2 linked regions of the Alligator mississippiensis genome follow. The protein of the gene in region 1 purifies or fractionates together with the protein of each later gene. This does not show direct contact. Links are inferred from orthologs where the notes say so. Each region holds a gene or a part of one and is shown in the gene's direction. Other genes may lie near its edges.

What was found.
Region 2: the proteins of ENG (region 1) and ACVRL1 purify together in Homo sapiens (affinity purification with western blotting; 3 studies listed by BioGRID and IntAct, with this or other methods). This does not show direct contact. The link is inferred for Alligator mississippiensis from reciprocal best matches to the Homo sapiens genes ENG and ACVRL1.

Annotation. Positions count from the first base shown.
Region 1 is NC_081835.1:57,301,781-57,312,931, forward strand, and holds the start of ENG (endoglin), read left to right. Parts: upstream 1-6,564; 5' UTR 6,565-6,910; coding exon 6,911-6,968; intron 6,969-11,151. UniProt on the Homo sapiens protein: Vascular endothelium glycoprotein that plays an important role in the regulation of angiogenesis. Required for normal structure and integrity of adult vasculature. Regulates the migration of vascular endothelial cells.
Region 2 is NC_081838.1:6,392,744-6,403,524, forward strand, and holds the start of ACVRL1 (serine/threonine-protein kinase receptor R3), read left to right. Parts: upstream 1-6,319; 5' UTR 6,320-6,839; intron 6,840-7,158; 5' UTR 7,159-7,306; intron 7,307-10,781. Other genes in the region: ANKRD33 (photoreceptor ankyrin repeat protein), read left to right, coding at 1-86. UniProt on the Homo sapiens protein: Type I receptor for TGF-beta family ligands BMP9/GDF2 and BMP10 and important regulator of normal blood vessel development. On ligand binding, forms a receptor complex consisting of two type II and two type I transmembrane serine/threonine kinases.

The DNA of each region.
Region 1 (11,151 bases):
TAGCCAGAGCATTTATATCACTTCAAACTGCATGGTCAGCATTAACTCTGGGTTTTCTCCTGGCACTGATGTGGCTATCCATCCAGTCCCTGTAAATGGGCACACTGAAAAACACTCCTCAGTGGTGGGAGTGGATGTACAAAAAGCCTTACCAAACTGGCCTGTCTATAGATCTCCCCTCTCAGTGCTGAAGCAGAGCCTGGTTATTACTTTGAGAAGAGTGTTCAGAAGTGATCAGTGCATTGGGACTGGGTGATGTTGATATAGCTAGAAGAGAGGGTTTTTTGTTTTTTAAAGCCTAAATGTCAGGGTTAAAGTTATGTGCGTGCAACCCCAGGGGATTTGTTTTCCACTTTACCCTTGTTATCAGAGAGAGTCTCTGTAAACACAAACCCCACTGGTTCCTGGAACCAGTGTTAGAAGAAATGGCTAGAACATACAGGCTCCGAGACATGAGGAGACCTTATGGGAACAAGCCTGCCAGCACGCCTGGTAGAGAGTGCACAGACAGTAGACTTGGGCATCTGATTGCCAGAAATCAGACATTAGAAACCCTGCTTAGCCTGAAACACTTTCCAATCGAGATGTTTCATATGTACTTCCTACAGCTATTGGGTCTATGCAAGGAGCTAGAACAGGGGTGGGCAAAATGCAGCCTGCCGGGCCATTCTACCTGGCCCACGGGGCCCTTAAAATTTAGAAAATTAATATTTATCTGCCCCTGGCTGCCTGTCATGCGGCCCTCAGTGGCTTGCCAAAACTCAGTAAGCAGCCCTCCGCCCGAAATAATTGCCCGCCTCTGAGCTAGAAGGAAGTCAGGTCTCAGCCACTTAAGTTTTCTGTAGTTTAGACAAAGTAAGAGACTGGGTTCAGCCCCCTTAAAGATACCAGCCTGGCTCAGTAGGTCATGTAGAAGCTCTTTAGGTTGATTGACATCACTTTGTGCCCCAGTGCTTTGGCAAGTGGTCACTTTGTGTATGATAGGACATTGCATGGCTGTGTACACTTATACAGGGGATCATCTTGTGTGTGTGTGTGCCCTGCCCTGCCCTGCCCTGCCCTGCCCTGCCCTGTGGGAGCCTTTCTTGTATCCCTTCTACTTTGCGCAATAGATATTTGGCGTCACACTCCAGGAACCCAAAGTTTAGTATAAGAACACAGTGTAATGCAGAGACATTAACACCACCTCTGGCCTCTACCTGACCCCTCTGATTAAATGATTGGGCTGCTCAAGATGTCATTAAAAGTCACATTTTTTTCCCTCAGGATTATGTGGCCTGACTTCCACATCAGCTGATCCCTTTCCACTGGAGCTTTTGCAGAGAAGTCAAGTAGGAGGCAGTTTCAGTTCAACTCATTGACATCCCCGTACCCACCAGCTTATTCCTTTTGTCTCAAGGAAATGCCTGTAGCCCAGTGTATTTAGCACACAGCAGTAAGGGCCAGAGGAACACAGCAAGTAGGAGAAACCCTCTGGCCCAAGGAGGTCATGGGTTGCATGGATCTGATTAAGGTAAATGGCAAAACTGATTATATCAAATACAAGAGTGGTGCCAAATGTATGCAGACCTGTTCTCCATCGCTGTCTGGGTACTAACAGTCCCTTAAATGTGACTGCAGCTTTCACTTTTTGGCCACCCTCTCAGGACACCTCATTAACATCCACTTCAGAAGGTTCCCAGGGGCAGGAGGAACGTGGCAAGTCAGTGGTAGAGCTGAGATGAGACCGCAGGATCTCATGACCTCACGGACTAGACCTATGCTTGCTCCTCCGGTCCTCTGTGCCTTTGGACTTGAGCAGTGTAGGTCATAGCTGTGTTGGTCTAAGGACATACCCAAAGAGACTTGTCTGCCTAAATCCAATATCTTTTACTAGACCGACTCAAATGGAAAATTCTTCTTAGCAAGATTTCAGGCATAAACACCCTTCGTCAGGCTGAGGAAGACTCTGAAATCTTGCTAAGAAGAATTTTTCAAACTATTTGAGTCGGTCTAATAAAAGATATCGGATTTATCCAAAGAATCTTATCTGCCTTTGGACTTGAGCAGCATCCATGGGCAGTGTGGCCCAGTTTGCTGTGTGACCCACTCCAGCAGGAGGCAGCACCAGCCTGCAGGCAGACCTACTGACCAGGGGCAAGCACTCCATCAGCTTCCCTTGTGCTGTAACTGGTGCTGAAGTAGGTGGCTCTGGAGCTGATTAGTTACATCAGCCAGTGAAAGGGGATAAGTGAAGAGATGAGAGGGAGCAGAGCTGGGTAGACTTACAGTTGCACAGAGTAGACACAAGTCTTGCACACTAGTGTCATCTGGAATAACTCCAATGAAGCTAGAATTCAATGGGAGTAAAATTAGAAGGAGAGGAGAATTAGTCCTTTCCTCCCCCTTCAAGGGCCAAGCCCATTTAAGCAGGGAGGAGTGGATGGCCCAGTGGTAATAGTGCTACCCTGGGTCTCGGGGCATCCTAGTTCAATTTCCTGCCCTGCTACAGACTTTGTGACCTTGAGCAAAGCAATTAAGTGCTCTCTGCCTCAGTATCCCCACCTGTGAAATGGGAGGGCAGTGCTATTAGTCCCTATGGTACTGCCCGTATACCAAGGGTGTGTGGAAAAAGGGAAGCCAGCTCCTTGCAAGAGTGACGGGTCAGGCTGACGACAAGGGAGGCGGTGATGTGCGGACACCTGACTGAGCAGCAGGGGTCCCAGACAACGCATTTCCACCAGTTTGTGTCCTGTGTCAGGGGCGCCCTGTGGCAATGCAGGAACCTCCTGTTATACAGGCACGCCAAGCTCAAGGAAACAGACTGCGTTAAAATGTTTCTGAGCGAACTTTAGTCCTACCGCCAGAAATTGGTGAGTGAGGATGGAGAAGATGCAGCCAACTTCATCTGGAAAAGCGACACCTGGCACTGGTTGTTCAAAGACCCCTCAGGAGGGAAAGTGGACAGAGAGAACGAAGGGGACAGAGATGCAGCTGGACCTGGAGACAGCAAGAAGGACTGCAACAGGATTAGCAGCAGCAGAAGTGACAGCGATAAGGACAGCGAATGAACTGAGAATAGCCCAAACCCCAATTTGGGGTTTCATAGGAGTGTGATTGGGGTAGGTGAGGGTGGAGGGTAGGTGTGCAGGGGAGTGGGTGTGTTTGTTGTAACGGGAAGTGCAGGCTTCTAAATGTGGTTTTAAGATGTGTGATGGAAAGTTTATAACGGAGGGTGGAGGGGTGTATATAACTCTCTCTCTCTCACATACATATATAATTTTAATTTCAAAAAAGAAAAAGGTGAGAGAGAGAAGAATCATGTGCTAATGTGGCCCAGGGCTGGGAGCTGGGGGATAGGCTGCCCCTGACTCTGAAGACACCTCTGCCAGGACATTAAGCCTGGTCCTGCCAGAGGCTCTGCACCTTCCGTGCTCCTCGCGGGGAGGAACTGTCGGCTGAAGGGGCCGCGGCTGAGCCTACACGTCTCGGGGAACAGCAAACAATGGCACCGGGACCTCCGCACGCTTCGTTCCATCCTGTTGTCCTCTCCCTACGCCAAGAGGCTAAGGCTCGTTCTTTCCTGCCATTGGGGCGACTGGCCAGGAAGAAATGTGTTACCACAAACATGCGGGTTGTCAGCAGGGCACTTCCCACCCACCTTGAAGACAGATCAATCCATCGATCTCTGCCTCTAGCCCCGGCCAGGCCAAAGATAACAGAGGGGGAAATGCAAAGGGCCAGCTGTATATACAGCTATTCCAGGAGGCAAGGCCTTTCAGGTCATGTTCCTCTTTGATCTCCTGGAGTCAATGGGAACCGACCAGTCAGGAATGCGTCTCGTCCAGCATGCGGCGTGGAGAGAGACACGCTCCAAGGCAGACGTGTAAGGCACCGGATGAAGGGCCAGACTGGATGCAGCCCAGGCGTCTGCTGGAGGAGGGCTCTGTAGGCGAGGCTTGGCCGAGAGCATGTGCTCTAGAGGGAGGATTTGACTGGAAGGGAAGGCGCCAGCAGTGGCATTCAAGCCCTGGAGGGTGCTGGTGGGGGGCCTGTGAGAAAGGGCAGGGGATCGGCCTTCCCCGCCTTCTCCCCTTGGAGCTGGACTCTTGCGCCTCTTTGCCCCCTAGCTCTTGCTGGGCGCCTTGCTGGCTGTATGAGCACTGTGTTGCTTGCCATCTGCCTGGCCAACCCTGTGGCTGTTGCTGTAGCTTTCTGGCCACCTCCTTCCAACCCAAAGCCTATGTGTGAGGCATTCACTTGGCTCTTGGCATCCTTGTGACACCTCCTCCTGCCCCACAGCTACCTAAACATCTTCTGCATCATTCAATGGCTGCTGCCATGCAGAAGCAGTGGGATAAACATTTGCTCCTGCCTTTGATCCCTGGTGCCACCTGTTCATTTGTTTGAAGTCATGGGAGACCTGGCCCCCAAGCCTGGGGTGGCACGTACTGCCCTGATGCGTGCCCGAGTGCAAGCAAGAAAGGGAACCAAGACAGTCCTCTGCATCCCCGTTTCCCACTGAGGTGGCAATGGAGCAGGAGTGGCTTTGGAGGCCTGCCTTCGACCCTTGTTCTTCCCAGTACTTGTTTCCCCCATCAGGGACCTGGGATGCCAGGGGGCTGTGGGGGAGCAGCTGAGAGGAGCCCTGCAGTCTGGGAGAGTGAGGGACCAGGTGCTTGAGAGCAGCAGGGAGCAAGAGCAGCCTGTAACTAGCTGAGAGGCAAATGGGTTGCTGATCTCAAAACAGCCCCTCTTCCATGGTGTCCTGGACACTGCTGTGGGCTCTTTCCAAACACCCACAGCCCTTCCACGTTGCCAGCATGCGGGTGCTGTCCCGTTATCTTGACGGCACTCTGGATTCAGGAGCCAAACCCTGGGGAGAAACCCAGATGGACCTGCCTTTTTCCGCAGGTCCATCTCTGATTCTGAAGGGTCTGTCTGAGCCCCAGGAGCCTGGTCTGCCTGGGCTGAAGTGCTGTGGCCATGGGAATGATCACCCGTTCCCCTCTGCCGCTGCGGCCCCTTGGCTCCCAGCTCCGTGCAGTCCCTGTTGTTCTGTCAACAGCAGGTCTTTAGCCCTGTCCTTGGATAGCAAGTAACCAGAGAATGAGGCCCCTGTGAAACGTTTGTCTCCTAACCTGGCTGCAAACTGGCTCCACACGTAAGGCTAGAAGGGACCCTCCTGAACCACATTGAGGCCCCTGTTGTGTCCAGTCGCAGCTCACAGCTAAGAGCCCATCCACGTCCGAGCCAGGGCCACAGGCTCCTTGCTCCAGTTGTAACTTTGGTGTGAACCAGCCCTTAGACTTCTGCACAGTGCCTGGATTAACAGCCACCTCCCACTACCTCTGACCTGCGGTGCTGCTGGGCGAAGGCCAGGGTGGAGTACGCTGGAAGTCTGTGCATGTTCCTGGTGGCAATGTAGGGAGGCCTGCAATAAAGGTCCACGTGATGCTGTCCCCGCTTTGTCTCCGCAGCACCATAGTCCCCAAGATCTCTCTGGGCTGACTGGGGCTGTTGAGCGGCTGCAGTGCTTCAGATTCTGTGTTGTCAGACCTATGAGTCCTGTTTGGTTGGGTTTTTTTCATTAAAATCAACATCCTCCCCTCTCTACATTAAAAACATAACAGTTTACCTCACTTCACCTGTCTGGGGTTGTGTGATCCCAGCATGTGCTCCTGCCAGCGGTGGGGGGTCAGACTAGATGATCCCTTCTGACCCCAAACTACCATGAAACTACATAACACATGTCCAAACTAGCATAGCATCTCCTCATTTACATGCCTTGACATCTACCGTTTCTTCCATCTATGTACTTCTTATCCTTTGGCAGTATGAGACCTGTGTTGTCAGACCTGTGTTGTTCAGGTCTTATGTCTCTGTTCGGCCTCCCACACATGCAGTTCCCACCTGGCTTCCCTCCGTGGTGCTGTGAGTGACACTTCTCCCCCCTCTGTCCCCTGCCATCCAAAGCACTGAAGACTGGCTACTGACTGTAAGTCTTGTATCCTTCCTCCCTCCAGATTCCCTGAAAGGAGGCTTCGGAGACAGTTCTACCCATTTTACAGAGAGGGAAATGGAGGCACAGAGGGGTGCAATGACTAGCCAAAGGTCCCCGAGATGCCAGCCAGGGACTCCCAGTGCTGTGCACCAACCGCTAAGGCACGTTCCTTCCTCAGGATGAGGCAGTGTCCACATACTTCCTGCAGCCCTTGAGGTGCATGCCCCAGTCCCAGCCCCAGCTCCATGCATAGTCTCCTACCCTGGGGCCCCTACAGATGATCTTTAGGATAGAGTGATGCCAGGGGATGATATGTGGCTCACTGGGCTGCAGAAAATCAAATGCAGGCCCGTGGGGGGGAACAGAGCCGCCTCCAGGAACCACCCATGGTCTAGGAGCCCCCTCCTGAGGAGAGGAGGGAGGACTGTGAGCACCCGGCATCCTGGCCGGCTCTCCTTCGGTCTCAGGACGCAGCCCCCACCCATTGCTGTCAGTGCATGACCTCCAGCAGAGGCTCGGAGCCTCTACAAACGGCATTTCCTCCCTCTTTTTGGCAGGCGAGCGTTTGGCAGACCCTCCTCTAAAGGGAGTTGATTTCCTGCCGCTTTGGGTCATCAGCACTGGGTTGAGTCAGTGCCGCACATTCAGGCGCTGTGAGTTCCCCTCCAGCACATCCTCTCGGCGGAGAAGCCGGGACACAACCAGCCACAACCTCCAGGTCCCTGCTTCCTTCTCTGCCACCGACAGCTCAGGAACTCCCCCAAGGCTGGAGTGGAGCAGATCCCCCTTCCTCCGCCTGCCTGCCCACAGTCCCATCGTGCAGTCGTGCAGCCCGTCGAGGCTCTCTGGGGCCAGGCCGCTGCCTCTGGACACGGGCTAAGAGGAGCCAGGACGCGACGCCGGAGCAGGAGGCAGCGTTCCCACGCCATGCAGACTCTCGTGTGCCTCACTGCGCTGCTGCTCTGCTGCTTGCGCGCCCACACAAGTGAGTTGCTCTTCCTTCCCCAGCTATTCCTGAGCTCAGCACGGGGTGGGGGGGGGGGGGGGGTGTTCATTTTGTCTCTTTCTGGCTTGTTTCTGCCTCTTCCTTCTCGCTGGCCTCCTCACCGCTCTCCTGAGCTCCCCGGGCCATTTTCGCAAGTCCTCACGAATTCAAGTCAAGCCAGGCGTTCCTCCTTCCCAGAGTCCTGCTCTGTCCCAGAAAGGCTGGGGCATCTGCCCCTGGTGGGAATCCCCCAGTTTGGTCTCCTCACCTTCTCTGTGGGGAAGCCAGTGATGCTGGGCTGGTGGTTCCCAGCTCCATCCAGCTTCTGAAGAAACAAGAGAGGTGGAAGCATGTCACAGCCCCAGCTCTGCTCTCTGCCAGCGAGGTTCGCTAGGCCTCCACCAGCTGCGCCGTGCCCCCCTGCTGCACTCCCAGGGCTGGGTCGAGGAGAGTCTGTGGCCGCTTGGGGCTGGGAGGTTGGTTGGTGCTGTGTAATGATTTGTTGCGAGGTCCTCAGGGCTGGGGGCAGTGTGCAGAGCTGCAGTGCGAGGCCGGTGGCTTTTTGTCATCAGAGTTGCATCTTGCAAAGAGCTAAGCACCTCCTGGAAAGTGCAAGGGGCTTCAGTGGGGACCACAGGCGCACTGCAGCTCCCAGAATCCAGCTCAGTGGGTCTTATCCAGGATCCATGGAAGTTGATGGACATACTCTCGATGGACTTTGGATCAGACCTATGGAAGCTGGAGGGAGCTGGATGTGGGGTGTTGGTGGCTTCCAGCAAACCTCCAGATAAACGGCTCTTAGGAAATACCCTGGGAGCAGACAGTGCAGAGCCAGTGGGAGCAGCTGCTAAGGGTTCATTTGGCCACAAGGTCACTCCTCCCAGGCTGGGATGCCCTGGGGTTACTGCTGGCTCCCGGAGAGCTGTGCAGCCATGCTGTCAGTGTTGCTTCACCACAGAACCTAGTGACCCGCGATGGGCACGGGCTGACTCAAGCCAGCCAAGGGTCTGGCTTTGCACAAAATGGCTTTTATTTTGATTACTCAGTAAAGTTGAGCCCCGGCTGTTGCAGGCAGAAGGCTGTGAGCTGGGGTTTTGCTGAGGAAACAGCTTCAAGTGGAGCCGGGAGTGGGGGAAGCCTGGATATGTCAGAAAGAAGTACGGACCACAGGTCATCCCCATTCCCCCTCTCTTTGGCTTTTAAAGCCCCAGAGCAGCAGCCGGGGAAGAGGGGGAAGGGGGGGAGAGAAGGGGAAACAAAGAAATCTCTCCCTCAAACTTAGCGGGCTTTGAAACCTGAGACTGTAAAGAAACAGGGAATTTGGCCAAATAGCCTCAATGAAGAGAAATCCTCTCACTGGGATCATCTAGTCTGGAAAAATAAGCTGCTTGGAGAACAGCCCAGCTGTGTTTCTTCACCCTTGTAAAAATCCTGTGAACATGCAGGCCAAAGAGTGAAGCAACATTGGGGCTGGTGCGGGGGAGAGTTTACTTGTCTCCAGCAACTACAGGCGAGCAAAAAATTGGAAGGAGCAAACATTTGAGTGCACAAAAAGAAATGTGCAGGCAAGGATCTCCCTGAGGGGAGGGTGTTAGTTCCCAAGAAGAATGAGAATTAAGTAGCAGAGATGGAGCCAAAATCTTGCTCTGGGGATGAACCATGGCTTTTGCCAAGGGACTGGCCTACATGGCCACATCCAGCCCACAGGGGTAGCGCTGCAGCGGGACGTGGTGGAAAGCTGGGATGGTCATCGCAGCAATCTGAGTCCACTCTGCAGTTTATAATGCTCTGAGATCGCGCTGCTTGGGTAGAGTTGAACAGATCAGCACAGCAGGCTTGGCAGGAGAAGCAGCTTCAGACCCAAGGTCAGGTTTCCAGGAGTGGTAGTGGCTGTGGAGATAACATAGTTACTGGGGGTGGTTTCTGAAATGCATGAGCCCCAGAGAGTGTGAAGGAAGGAAGAGCTTGACAGGCACTGCAACATCTTCAAGGGCATTATTTCTGCAGCTCGCTCAGCTCAAAGAAGAGCTCTGAAGACACGCAAATGTCTCTCTCAGCAGGGTCCGGGAGCAAGCAGTGGAATTTGAGTCAGGGTAGTGAGTTATTGCCAACGCCAAGAGATCGAAGATCAGGAGTCTGGTCCCAGACACCAGAGATTTTAAAACAGGGATTTCAAGTCAATTGAATCAATGTAAACTCTTTGTTTTTAATTTTCCTTTTGATTTCTGAGCCTTGGGGGTTGTGTTTGCAAGGTTTCAGAGGGTTACAGACTTGGTGCTTGAATGGAAAGCTGAGTTTCCTCTAATCACATGACTCCAGGAGCTGGGACTGTGAGAAAAATGCTGTCAAATATCAGAGGGGCTTGTGACAGAATCCTGGAAGTTGGTGAGCCCATAGTAAGGAGGGCTGGGAAAGCGGTTAGCTGGATCTGGGGATCACAGAGCAACCATTGGCTGTGAAAACAGCAGGGGCTGCAGGATCATTCCCAGAGCTCGTGCGATCTGTTGAGAGAGGGCTGCACTAGTCACCCGCGTGGCAGGGTTGAGTGGAAGGGATCTCTCCTGGAAGCCTCGCATGTGGTGGGCTAGCATACTTCAGGTGGGATTGGGGCACAGCTAGAGACTTGCACTGAGACACATCTGTCCCTGGTACAGCATCACTGACTTGCACCCACAAGGTCTTTATTCAAAGCCCCAAGTTTCCTCTGTGTCTCTGGTGGATCCCTAAGGATGGTCCTGTTCATTTCCACCATTGACTGTCTGCGTGATAGCCAAGGACACAGGCCAGGCCACACTTTGAAACCCCTGTGTCACTGGAAGGGAGTCTCCGCTGAAGAATTGGTCCAGCTGTATGCACTGGCTCAGTGGCCACTAGGTCAAAGTTACTACGGGGTTGGCCCCAGCCCAACAAGTGTATGTATGTGTGTTTCTCATTGTCCCGTGTCAAGCGTACACAGCGTGCGGTGCTGTCTGAGAGCCTGAACAGGCAGCCTGCTTGCACCTGTGTAATCTTCACTGGGTTTGTATACCTGTATTGATTATGGGGTCTAGAGGAGACATACAAGGTAGATATTCAAGTGTAGCTGTTCCCAGTATGCACCATTACAGTACCTCACTGCACCTGGGTAGGGAGCAGGCCATAGCCCGCTTGCACTGAGCAAATGGCTACCCTGGGATGGAAGATGTAAGTCACACCAGTATAGGCTGACTTCTCGTTCTTCCCCTGGTAATGCTATCCTGGACTTGGGGCAAGTTACACAGATGTAGGAGTATCTGTGGACTCCTTGTTCATACCAGTTCAAAAATGGCAACTATCCAAGGCCAGACACCAGTCCCTAGGTGCGAGAATCACCATGGCCCAGAGATGAGTAGATATTTCAAGCCTTGGAGACAGAGGGCAGCTCACAGGAAGGTGAGCCCAGCACTATGGCCTATGGCCTTTTGGCTAGAGGCAAGCAAGACTAGGGGCTATCTGAACTCCAGGGCCTCTGGGCTTGGAGTTTGCACATAGGATGCCCACCATGGATTTGGGAGCATCTGAAGTCCCAGGCTGACGAGTCTGAGAGGTAGGATACTTGCCAGTGGTAGTGCAACACAGACTTGAACAACTGCGCTCTGCTCAGTTGATAGAATTTGCAACTAATTTGGCCTAAGACACAAAATTATATATATAAGGGGGAAAGGGACCATTAGGGTATCTAGTCCCATCTGCTGTGAGAAGAAACTGTGTCAACTCAGCTGCTTTCAATTCCACTTATATATTTCTGTTAGCTAGAAAACAATTCCAGTAAATTGGCAGCAGTACGGTGCACGATGCTAATTAATGGCAGAGGGAAGACAAGACCAGTGGGTGTAATGCACATATAGGATTGCTCAAGGTGGGGGTGGGATTTAGGAAAGGGAGGTCTGGTTACAAGAGAAGGAAGCCAATATGGGCATGTCCGTACTGAGGAACTCCGGTTTCTTGTGCTTCTACCTCAAAGCACTTTATGGAGGCATAAACTGCGCCAAGCTCACTGAAATACAGACACCCCTGGGGGTGGGGGCAGCAGCTGTCAGCTCTGCGTATCAGTTCCAGACAGAGTGAAAAACCACCTTTGCCCACAGAAAGGGAGACCAGCTTGGGCACTCCCCAGCGTGCTCTGAGCACCCCCAGCCAGCTCTGATTAGCTGGGGATAGCCTG
Region 2 (10,781 bases), on another chromosome or scaffold:
GGAACACGCTGCGGCTGCCCAAATGGAGGTACAAGGAGCTGCGGGAAAAGAGGAGAGCAGCCAAGGAGTTAGAGGAGGGAAGCTGAGGGATGGGGACACGGGGAGCCCTGGACAAAGGCCTAAGATGTGTCCATTCTGGCCACCCCATGGATGCACTGGGAGCATGGCTAGGGTTGGGCAAGGATACAGGGCTCCTGCCCAACCCTAGCACTTTGCTTTCCCTGCTTCGACATTAGACCCCCTGCCCCGAAAGGCTGCTGAAGGCTCAGCAGCACAGTGCCCGGCCCCTACATGTCCTGCCACCCCAGGCATATCTGGGGTGGCATATCTGGTGCCCAGAGAGTGGACTGGCCACGATGGCACGGAGGGGTCTATGGGCCTTGGGCACTTCAGTGCCCAGCCTGCTGCATCCTGGCCTCAGGCCTCTGCAGGGCTCCCTTGGGCTGCAGGAGGTGAAGGAAACGGACCCATCCCATGGGGTGACCTCCGTCTCTGTCCCGTGTCACCAGCATCTCGCCCTCGCAGCGCAGTCGTGGGGCGCGGCAGGTCCATTAAACGCGGAGTGGTTGCCGTGTTAAGAGCTTTATTACGACCTGAGCCTCAAGGCTGGTGATGCGGCGGCTAACAGTGCTTTGTCCTTTTTCCGGGCATCTCCCCCAGGAGAGCGCAGTGCCTTGGGGACGTGACTTCCCAGCTGCGGTTGATGCCCCTGGCACAACTGGGGACAGGCCCCAGGTCCTGCTGGTCCTCCACGGGAGAGTGGACACAGCCCTGAAGCTGCAGCGGGCCGTTCCCCTTCCATCACCCCCTCGAGCGTTCCTACTCCCACTGCCCCATCCTACCGCTCCCGCCCTCCCCCAAGAGCTGAAGTGTGCCCCCAGGAGCCCCGACACCCAGCCCCTGCCCACCCTCCCCAGACACTGACCGATGCTTCAGAGGGAAGCGAAATGCAGCTCCTGCAACACATGTGGTCACTGCTGCATCGGGGGGCGGGGGGGTGGGGATTTCTTCCTGACCCCTGAAGCATGAGCTTGGACTACAGCCAGCGTCGCAGCACACACCTGCACGTGCACGTGGGCTGACGCCACTGCAGGAAATCCTGTCCCCTGAGCTTGGGAAGGAAGAGGAGAGACGGGGATTCCTGAGCCCCGAGGGGCCACCACAACCGGCCAGCCTGAGGCTGGATTCAAGTGCATCTTATAGGAAGATGCATCCTCTCCTTCAAGGCCTCCTAGCTGTGGGATGCCCCTCTCCCTCCCTGGCTCCAGAGACCCGTCAGGCCATTCTGTGCATGTTCCTGGCCCCGCAGGAGCTGACAGGTTGGGTTGCTTCCGCATCCATGACCCAGACCCACTCCTGTCCCTGGACCCCACAGCCCAAGGAGGTGGGCAAGCCATGCTTGCAGGGCACTCACTGTGCCCCTTGGGCCAGGGCCAAGACATGGGGCCAGCTCCTGCTGTGGGGCTGCAAGAGGAGGGGACATGTCTGGGCACAGTCCCCCATGAGCAGTGCCCTGCAGCCACAGGATAGGAATGCCATGTGGGTTACCCCAGCCAGCCCAGGGGCATGGGGAGGGCAGGCCTGGCCACAGGTGGAGAGGAGAGGATCCCCCCAGCTGCAGTAGCCCCCAACAGCTCAATGCAAATGAACCAGCCACCACCATCCAAGCCAGAGGCAGCAGAGCAGAGGAGATTCAGCGAGCCCTAGACAGATACCCCACGGCCCCCCGCTGCGGAGAAGAGGGACGGTTCCTGCCCCGGGAAACCTGTGGTCAGTCACACTCACTGCCCAGAACTGCAGACCTCCCCTCCCCACCAGCACAGACGGAGCAGGGACAGCCCCAGCCACATCAGCCATGCCAAGTCACGTGGCAGCTCCGTGCACAACACAACCCAGGAGTCCCGACCCTGTGCCCCACGTGCAATGCCCTGTGCCCACGGGATGCGATGCTCTCACTGTTGCTCTGGGAACATCCCGGGCTCCTCGACTCCCTGCCATAACCACCCAGCACCCTGCTCCCCACCCCGGGTGCTGGAGCCTGGCAGGCCTGCTGGCACAGTCCCTGGCAGCGCTGCAGGCTGTGCCGAGATGGCGTCTCACTGCCGGCTCCAACACGCCTTGCCTCACCTGCCAGGCTGCGTTCACAACATGTTTGAGCTGTCCACACACCTGTCGGCCCGGCAGCTGGAGCCACTTGAGGCCTTTCCAGGTGATGCAGACAGGCTGCAAAGCTCCTTCTGCTCAAGGTGACACCGGGGCTGCGGCCAGCAGGGAAGCCCTGCGGCCCAGGAAAGCCGGGCTGCTGCATCCCCCGGCCAAGCAAATAAGGAATGAAGTCCCAGAGCCCTTTGATCTCCATGGCCGGAGGAGAGGTAGACATGGGAGAAGAGGGGCAGTGCCCCGAGCCCACCCACAGTTTGCCCCCCATGCTTTGGAGGCAGGCATTGACTGCTGTCACTGCTGGCTCCTGTCATGGGGGGCACTGCCCCCCAGGCCCATTGTTGCCTGCGTGGACACTTTGCAGGTCCCCGGTCACAGCGCCTGGCTCAGCTTGGAGCCAGTGAGGCCAGGCCAGCATCCAGACACAGGGAGGGGGGCTGGCGCTCAGTAGGGGACTCAGCCTGGTCTGGCGCTGCAGGGAGGGGTGGCCGAATTCAGGAGCCTGGTGGCCTGAGGACCACCTCCTGCTGCCCTGGCCCTCAGGCCACCCAAGATGCCTGTGGCCAATTCACAGGGGTGTCCGGGGCTTTGTGCAAGGCACAGGGTGCCCAGGGGAAGGTGCTTCTGCATGCCCCCGGCCAGCCCATCGCTTCTCATTTCCTCCACGCATGGCTTGCTGCTGGTGCCAGCTCGCCGGCTCGGCACACATCTGAACTGGGGGCGGGCAGCACATGGAGCAGGGGAGCCGGCGCTCCGCACATGCAGTGCCAGGCGCGTTCCAACGGTGGGGGCGGGGGAGCAAGGCGCCGGCGGGAACAGGCTGCTTGGGGGCTGGGGGATCCGTTTTGCCCCGATTCTAGCTGCCCCCGACTTCTTTCAAGCCTCGCAGTCTCTCCAGCAGTCACCGCTAAGCACTCAGGAGGGGCTGTTTCTGGAAGAAGACCAATGTCCCTGTCCTAGGGAGGCTACTGCAGATGCCCTGTGCTTTCCCCATGGCGTTTTTGCACCCCACAGCGGTGGTGGGCATCTCCTGAGGTCAGCCTCGGCAGGGTGGAGGTACCTGGACTTTGCTGCTGGGCCCAGCCTGGCTGCTCACAGGTCTGAGCAGGGACCCCAAGAGCCAAACCCCGGGGCTCGGGTTGCACCCCTGAACGTAATCGCAAGGGATTGAAAGCAGCAGGTTGAAAGCGAGGCCTTGTTCTGCTGCCAGTGAACTAAGCAACCCCCTTCTGCGACTTGGTGTCCCCATGGTCCAGTGGAGGTCATGAGGAGTCACAGTGGGGTGTCTGGGAGATGCCCTGGGTGCATTGGCCCCCCTGGCTAGTTTTGTCCTTTCTGTGAAGTCCGGACCTTGCCGGCTCCCTCCCTACGTGCCGACTTCCCATTGGGAACTGCACGCCAGACGGGGGGTGGAGCGGGTTTGGGGTCAATGCTTAGCTCGACAGTCTGCTTAACTCTCTCACCCCACATTTATTCCCAGGCAACCCTGCTGCACAGAAATCAGTGTACGCCAGTCCTCAAAACACAGCCCACACAGGGCAACTCACAGTCCCGAGGCCTCTGCCCTGACCCCGAGAACCAGCTGCTGGCTTCGTGCTGCTCCCCCAGTGCCGCCGCGCAGTTTTCCTTCTCTCTCCTGGGCGAATTCCCTCTCCCGGCCTCGTGGTGCTGCTGCCTCCAGGTCTTTTGCCAGACCCTGGGAGAGTCCTTGGCTCAGTTCTGCCCTCGCTAACCAAACCCCCTCCCCTTCTTTCAGCCTCCACCCCCAGCTCCTCTCCCTAGGAGCCCTCCTATGGCCACCTAATCATCCTCTGCAGCTGGCCCAGGGCTCCCAGGCAGCCTGCAGTCACTCCTGACTGCCTGCCGCTGGCCATAGTCCCTGCAAGCCTGCAGCCTGGTGGAGGATACTTGCCGATGGTCGGGCCATGTAAGACTTTTGGCTGATTCCAAGGATTTGGAACTCGTTTGACCTGGTGCACAAAAAAATGTCCAAAAAAAAAAGCCTGCCGACTCCTCCAGCCTGGGGGCTCCTTGGGAAAAGTCTTCTTTCTGCTTAGCCCTCCAATCAAGAACAGGGAAATCCCCGCCCCCAGCCCGTCCTTGTTAAAAAATAGAGCAGCGGGACGAACAGAAGAGCCGACATCCTCTCTCTGCTCTGGCCGCGTGTGTGGGAGGAGGGTCAGCTGCAGCATGTGGCTGGGGAGGAAGGAGGTGCTGGCTCTGGGTAGAGACTGGCCTGCTGCGAGGCAACATTTGGGCAGTCGCAGCCTTTCCACCCCGCTCCCTTCGGGCCTGCTGGCCCCAAGCCTGCCGCTGTAGCTGGGCGAACGCTCTTGGTCATCTCCGCGCCCCTAAGCCAGTGATTCTCAACCGGGCTTCACAGCCTGCTGGGCGCTGTGAGATCCTTTCAAGGGTGCCCAGAGGAATCCTGAGCTCTCAAACCCTTCAGTCCTGTTGGGGCCTTTCTAGGTCTTTGCAGCAAAAGAGTGGTTTTGTTCTTTGTCTGTAGCCTAAACAGGAGCGGAAGCTCGGACCTGGCGTTTTCTGACGGGGCCTCGAGTCTAACGAGGTTGAAAGCCACGGCCCTAAGCCAAGGCCACATGCCCGGTCCCTTGCACGGGCTCCTGTGACACGTGAGCTGTCCAGAAATGGCAGTGGGAGGGTGGCCCGGTGTCAGACAGTCGGGACTGGAGCAGAGATGGTGAGAGCGATAACGTGTCTGCGAGGGCGGGCGCAGACTTCCTCCCCTGGCGGCATGGCAGCCGGTCCTTCCCTAATCAGATTGAAGCTGCCCGTTTCCCATCCCACAGAGCCATGAGATTCCTACCCCTGCTGCCCCACCCTTGAACCTGCCGTTGGCCGGAAATCTCCCGGTTGCTAAAATATACAAGCATCTTTCACGGACAAGGCTTGCATGGAGCCATTGGTGGTGCTTCCTGTTGTTCGCTTTTTAAGTCTAAGTCTGAAGCAATCCGCAAGAGAGAGGAGAAGTGCGGGGCCGGCCGTGCTGTGCCAGGGCTCCGGTGAGAAGGGGGCATTTGCCCGTGGGAGAGTCCAGACTCCCGGGCTCTGTTCCCTGCTCTGTTTGGGAGGGCTGGGTAGTAGCTACAGCAGATGATGGTGGGGGCAGACTGCTGGCTTCCCTTCCTAGCCCTAGGGATGGCTGAGGGGTAATGCATCAAGGAGAGGGGTCCAGGACTTGAGGGTAAATGGTTGCACCTCGCGCTGCGCGGGGAGGGTCCAGGCAGCATCAAGGCTTGGGCTGCTCTTCGAAGCGTGACTTAGTGCGCACGTGGGGCTCGTCCTAGTGACCTCATTCCCCCGCACAGCGTGATGCCCACTTTGCTGTTGCCGCCCTCTTTACCCTGCTGCTGGGGGCTAGGGGCCAGGGAGGTACAGCCGGGATGGCTGAAGCCAGGACCGGGGCTCTCGAGTGCGAGCAAGGAAGAGGAACAGGAGGCCAAGATGGGGAAGACACCAATTGACCCACAATCGTGACTCAAACATGGAAAGGGGAAGCGGCGTCTCCGGGCCCAGGCAGCCCCTGTCCGCGGTTCCCAGGCCGCAGCTCCGCCACAAAGCCCACGGCACATCTGGGGGGAGGCGGGGAGTGCTTCCTTCCTCCGAGAGGACACTGGGTTTAATACCCGGACTCTGGCAAAGGTGGTGCTGGGGCTGGCGAGGGGCACGGAGTGTGACGGACCTACCCAGCCCTCTTGGCACCCACGTAGGACCCTTGCAGTCCACGGCACAGGAGCAAGGCCATGCCGGGGCACTGTAGAGCCTCTGCCCCACTGCTGAAGCTCAGCACATCCCATTGCACCCCGGGGCCCTGGGAGCGTGGCTCTGCATCATCCCCTGCAGCATGGGGCCCCTCAGTGCTGCAAGCCCAGGAGCCAGCGCGGGTGCAAGAGGGGAGGGCGGTTTGTCTCTGCCAAAGCCATAGTCCCCTGCGCCCCATCTGCTCCTTCAAGAGACTGGATGTGCTTGCCTTTGTCCAAGTGGCTGGTCTGGGTCTGAAAATGAAGCAAGGGAAATCCACCCGCCCATCCCATGCCAAGCCTATGGCAGGACAGGGAGGGAGGCCCAGGAAGCCGGGGCATAGTCAGGATGGAGTTGGGGCCCGGTGTGTGCGGGAGGAAGGCAGCCTGGACGGGATCTGTGCTCAGCAATAGGAAATGCTTTATTAGCTGGGAGTGGTGGAGACAAGCCAGGCAGGAAGAGGCAGTAATAAGAAACATTTTTTGACTTCTCCCACATCCAGGGCTCAGAGAGCTTGCCAAGCAGCCGCGCTCGGACACGGGGACGGAGGCCGGACCCCCTGGGGCTGGGAAAGGCAGTCCAGGCGCACCACCCCACTCCCCAGCTGCGGCTGGCGGGACACCAAAGCCAGCCCGCTACCCTGCCCTGCCCGCTTCCCGTCTGCAACGCCAGGAGGGGACAAGGAGGAAGGGGGCTGCCCCATGACGCTGCTTCAGGTCGGAGCTCATAGCGCAGGGGAGAGCGGCCCGGGGTGAGCCCAGTGAATGTCCCGGGCGCTGCTACCGGCGGAGGCTCGCGTTTGGGAAGAGTCGCCAGCCCCATCGGCCGCAGAGGCGGGCAGAGCCCCCAGAGCTGGGGGTCCCTGCAGCACCCCTGCCCCAGACAGTGCCATCCAGGAGAGGGAAGACCACCTGCAGGTGAGTGTGAATGCGCCGCACACTGGGTTTTGAGGCGGGTGCGAGGCTGCTGCCCCAGAGCGAAAACTCAGATCCAGACGGGCCAGATCAGGGTTGGCATCCCTGAAGCTCCCTGGTGTCCACCAGTGAGGCCCGGGCCTGCATTTGCTCCCCACAGCCTCCATCACTCCCTGGGTCGCACGCTACCCAGTGCTGTTTCATGGCATCCCCTAGGGCTTTCATTACCGAGGTGCCCCTCACATCCACCCCAAGGGAGGAACCGCATGGAGATCCCCTGGGCTTGCTCATGTGTGACATATGTGCATAACTCCGTCCTCAGCTCCAGAGCAGCCGCCAGCAGTGCTGGAATTGCTTCTGGCCGCTGGGGCCAGGCTCTGGTCCTCGCTCCAGCAAAGTCGGCGGGACGTCTCCGGGTTTGCACTGGTGCAGCACAGCTCAGACTCGGACCCCGCTCCCTCATTAAGGAGGTGAGATCATATCTAACAACGTTAGATATCAGCTACGCTGCTGGCAGGCTGGGGGGGCAGCGAATGTTGTGGGGATGTTGTGAAAAGCTGCAGGAGAAAGGTAGGGAATGATGGACCGGGACCGGGTGAAGTCACTGAAAGAGGAAAATGATGAAGGACATAGAAATTCATATGGCATAGCATGGCATGGCGTGGCATAGCATGGCATGGTATAGTATGGCATAGTCTTGGTGTGGGACAGAAAAGCCTGAAGCTCCTTGTGCCTTTCCGAGTGACTCCACAGACTGAGTCAGCGCGGGACAAAAGCCTTTGCGGCAGCTGCAGATCCTGCTACGGGGCAGAGGGGGGCAGGATGGGATCCAGAGGCATTGCCCAGTCCTGGGGCCCCCGGGCTGGGGTACATGGCTTGGTCCTGGCCCTCTGGCCACAGAGCAGAGGCGGCTGTGAGTGCAGGAGCTCGGAGATGCCATGGAGGCAGCTCTCGAGAAGCCATTTGCTTCTGTTTGCAAAGAGCTTGCAGGGTGCTGAGCCCCATCCAAGAGCCGGCTCGGAGAAGTCTCCCCTGCTCTCGTCCAGGCTCAGAGAAAATCAGTATTTCCCAGAAAGACTGAAAACAAGGCAATGGGTGGGAAGAGGCCGCTCGACCCCTTCTTCTTTAGCCGGCAAACCTGTTCACCCTCCTCTCTGAGCGTGCCCGTCTTGCAGGAGGACACAGAGCCTGGGAGCACACAGCTCTGCCCTGCTGGTCCCCTCCCAGCCCTCCCAGGAAGGTCCCCACAGGGCGCAATAAGCCACCGTCGGAGACTCAGGTTAGGAACAGAAGTCCAGCCTGATCGGATCGGGCCCTGACCCCAGGCACTAAGTTGTCTCCTGCTCAGGAGCACGGCTTGCCCTGGACGGGACCCCTGCAGGGCAGGAACGTCCAGAGGAAGATGATGTCTCTGCTTCACGGGATCCCCTAATGCAGCTCCAGAGCCCGCTGTGGTCCACAGAAAAGCCCCTAGGGATCTGGGAGGATTTTTGATCGAGTCCATAGAGCCTGGGATCTGATTGTGGAGGGCCTGAGCAGGACTGGGGCCACTCAGCACCCCTGGAAACAACCCTGGAGCCACGGCGCGGAACCTTCTCAGATCAGTCGTCTCTTCCCCCTGCAGCAACCCCAGGGCGCCACCATGCACGCCCACGCGGCCGGCATTGCTTGCGGGGGGGCTTCGTGGCCACTGACTCCAAGGGAAAAATAATAGGGAACTGGGTCATGGGAGCTGCATCCTGGCTCCAAAAACACAGAAGTAACCAGAACCGCAAATGGCAGAGGAAGTGCTGGGCTTGTGACCCAGAGAGTGGCAGGGGGAGGAGGGGAGCTGAACATCCCTCTCCCGCCCAGGGCAGGGGGTGAGACGATCCCTGCGGGTCAGGGCTGGGCAGTGGAGTGCGAGCGCGGTGGAGAAGGGGTTTCCGTCCCCTGGGCCTTCCCTCGGACACCGGTCCCCAGCACAGCCCCTCGCAGACAGGTGACGTTTGGGTTGCCCAAAGGTGCGGCAAGGTCTGGGGGAGACAGCGAGCAGGGACGGGAGGTCAAGAAGAGGCAGCGAAAGGGCTGCCAGCCTCCCCGGCCCTGTCTCCTTGCAGGCTTGGAGCACAGCTGCCCTCGGCCAGCACCGAGCGCACCTTGGTTTTAAAAGGAGCTCTAATGAAGCACAGTTCATCTGTGCGCCTCATATAAGCATCTTCCATGGAGAGCGCTGCATTGCCCTGCCTTATTATGTGATTATACAGGGCACCTTAACATAACACCTACATGCTTAGCACACTGTTGCACTATAAATAATAGCTGCGGCACATGGGTGGAAGAGATGGAATTAAGGTTGCTCTGGAAACCTTATCTCCGATTATCTTCACCCAGATTCTCAGCCCTGTAAACCAGTAGAGCTGCCTTGGCTTCAAAGGAGCTCGAACAGTTGGGGAGAACCGGAGAAGCTGGTCCCTTGATTTATTTATTCAAGGTTCAAGGAGTCCCAGACAAGGAAATGTCACCCCTTTTGGCCCAGGCGGTTAGTGCGTGAGGCTTGGCGGGGCAGTTTCTGCGAAGGAGAAGCTGATGGCATGAGTCACATATGCTTTAGTGCTGTCCTGTGTGTTTGCCCAGCACCGGACGGGGCAGGACGGAGCAGCAGTGGGGCAGGTCCCTGCACTGGAGCATCCCAGCCTGCTTTTCCAGCTGGCCCTGTGCCCAAAGGAGCCCCGTCCCCCTGCTCCTTTGTGGGGTCAGGGTGGCATCCGCACCGGAGATGGTCCCTGCCGTTACTCACAGGGAAATCCCTCCGATTCCCCCGGGGAGTGCTCTCGCTCAGACCTCCCCATGCAGAGCAGTGCCTTGGGCGGTGGCTTCTCTTCTTCCCTGCCATCACCACATAAAAGAGGTTTAACTGGCTCTTCCTGAAGGTGGTTTCCATTCCCCCTGCTTCCAGGGGTCTTTCTAGCCCTTGCAACTGCAGAGAAAAGCTGGACGACGTGAGCCAAGAGTGCAGAAGGCGGAAGGAAGAGAACGTCCATCTGCTTTTAAATGCACATGCTTCTCAAACCCGTCTCATGCTATTTGGGAGCCTGGCTCAGGACCCTTAGGTGTTTGGGGCGAGCAGTGCAGATCATTGGCAGCCTGCTTATCTGCCCCTAGAAATACAGGAGATGCTAGAGGCATCGCTGGAGCCAGCAGGGAAAGAGGCTGCGAGCCCGTGGCAAGGTGTGGGGTATCGGAGACACTGACTCCATGCAAAAGGAGGATCCCTCCTGCACGGGAAGTGAAAGCCTCCATTTCTGGAGCCCCAGAAGAGAGTGAATCCTCAGCTTTTCCCAGGCCGCCTCTGACCGCTGCAGACAGCGTCTCCGGCTGATACAAACCAGAGGACGCAGCCGGGTTGTGAAACGACGGGGTCACGGGGCTGCTCGTGGCAGGCCTCGGGGCCCTCGAGCAGTTACAACATCCAGGCTGGGGGGCCGAAAGATCCCGGGAGCTGCCAGGAGGGTGAGGGGGGGAACGGGACAGGGGGAAGAAGTGGAGGAAAGGACAGGAGGAGAGAGGGGCTCCTGGTCCCAAAGGGCTGGGGGCAGGGCTGAGCGAGCCAGCTGTGCTCTCACCTCCGCTTAGGGAGCAGTGGCACGCCACCCCCTTGCTCACCCCCCCAAAGGGATGCTTTCCTGCCGACCCCCTGGCACCTCCTCCAATGCCACAGACCCCCCCGGAAGAGTCTGCTCTCCCCCCTGCATCCCCATGGCATTGAGTCCGTCTTTCCCCTCTGTCGGCAACAGCAAAGCGAGGTATTTTGGGGACGAACGGTCCCAGCGAGGCTGCCCTGGGCCTGGGGCCACGGGGGCTTCTGCCCGGGACGGGCGCATTGTGGCGAGGCGCGGGGTGGTGTGTGCTTGCGTGACTCCGCTTTCCCATCAAGGCCAGAATCTAAACAATCTTGATTCCTGT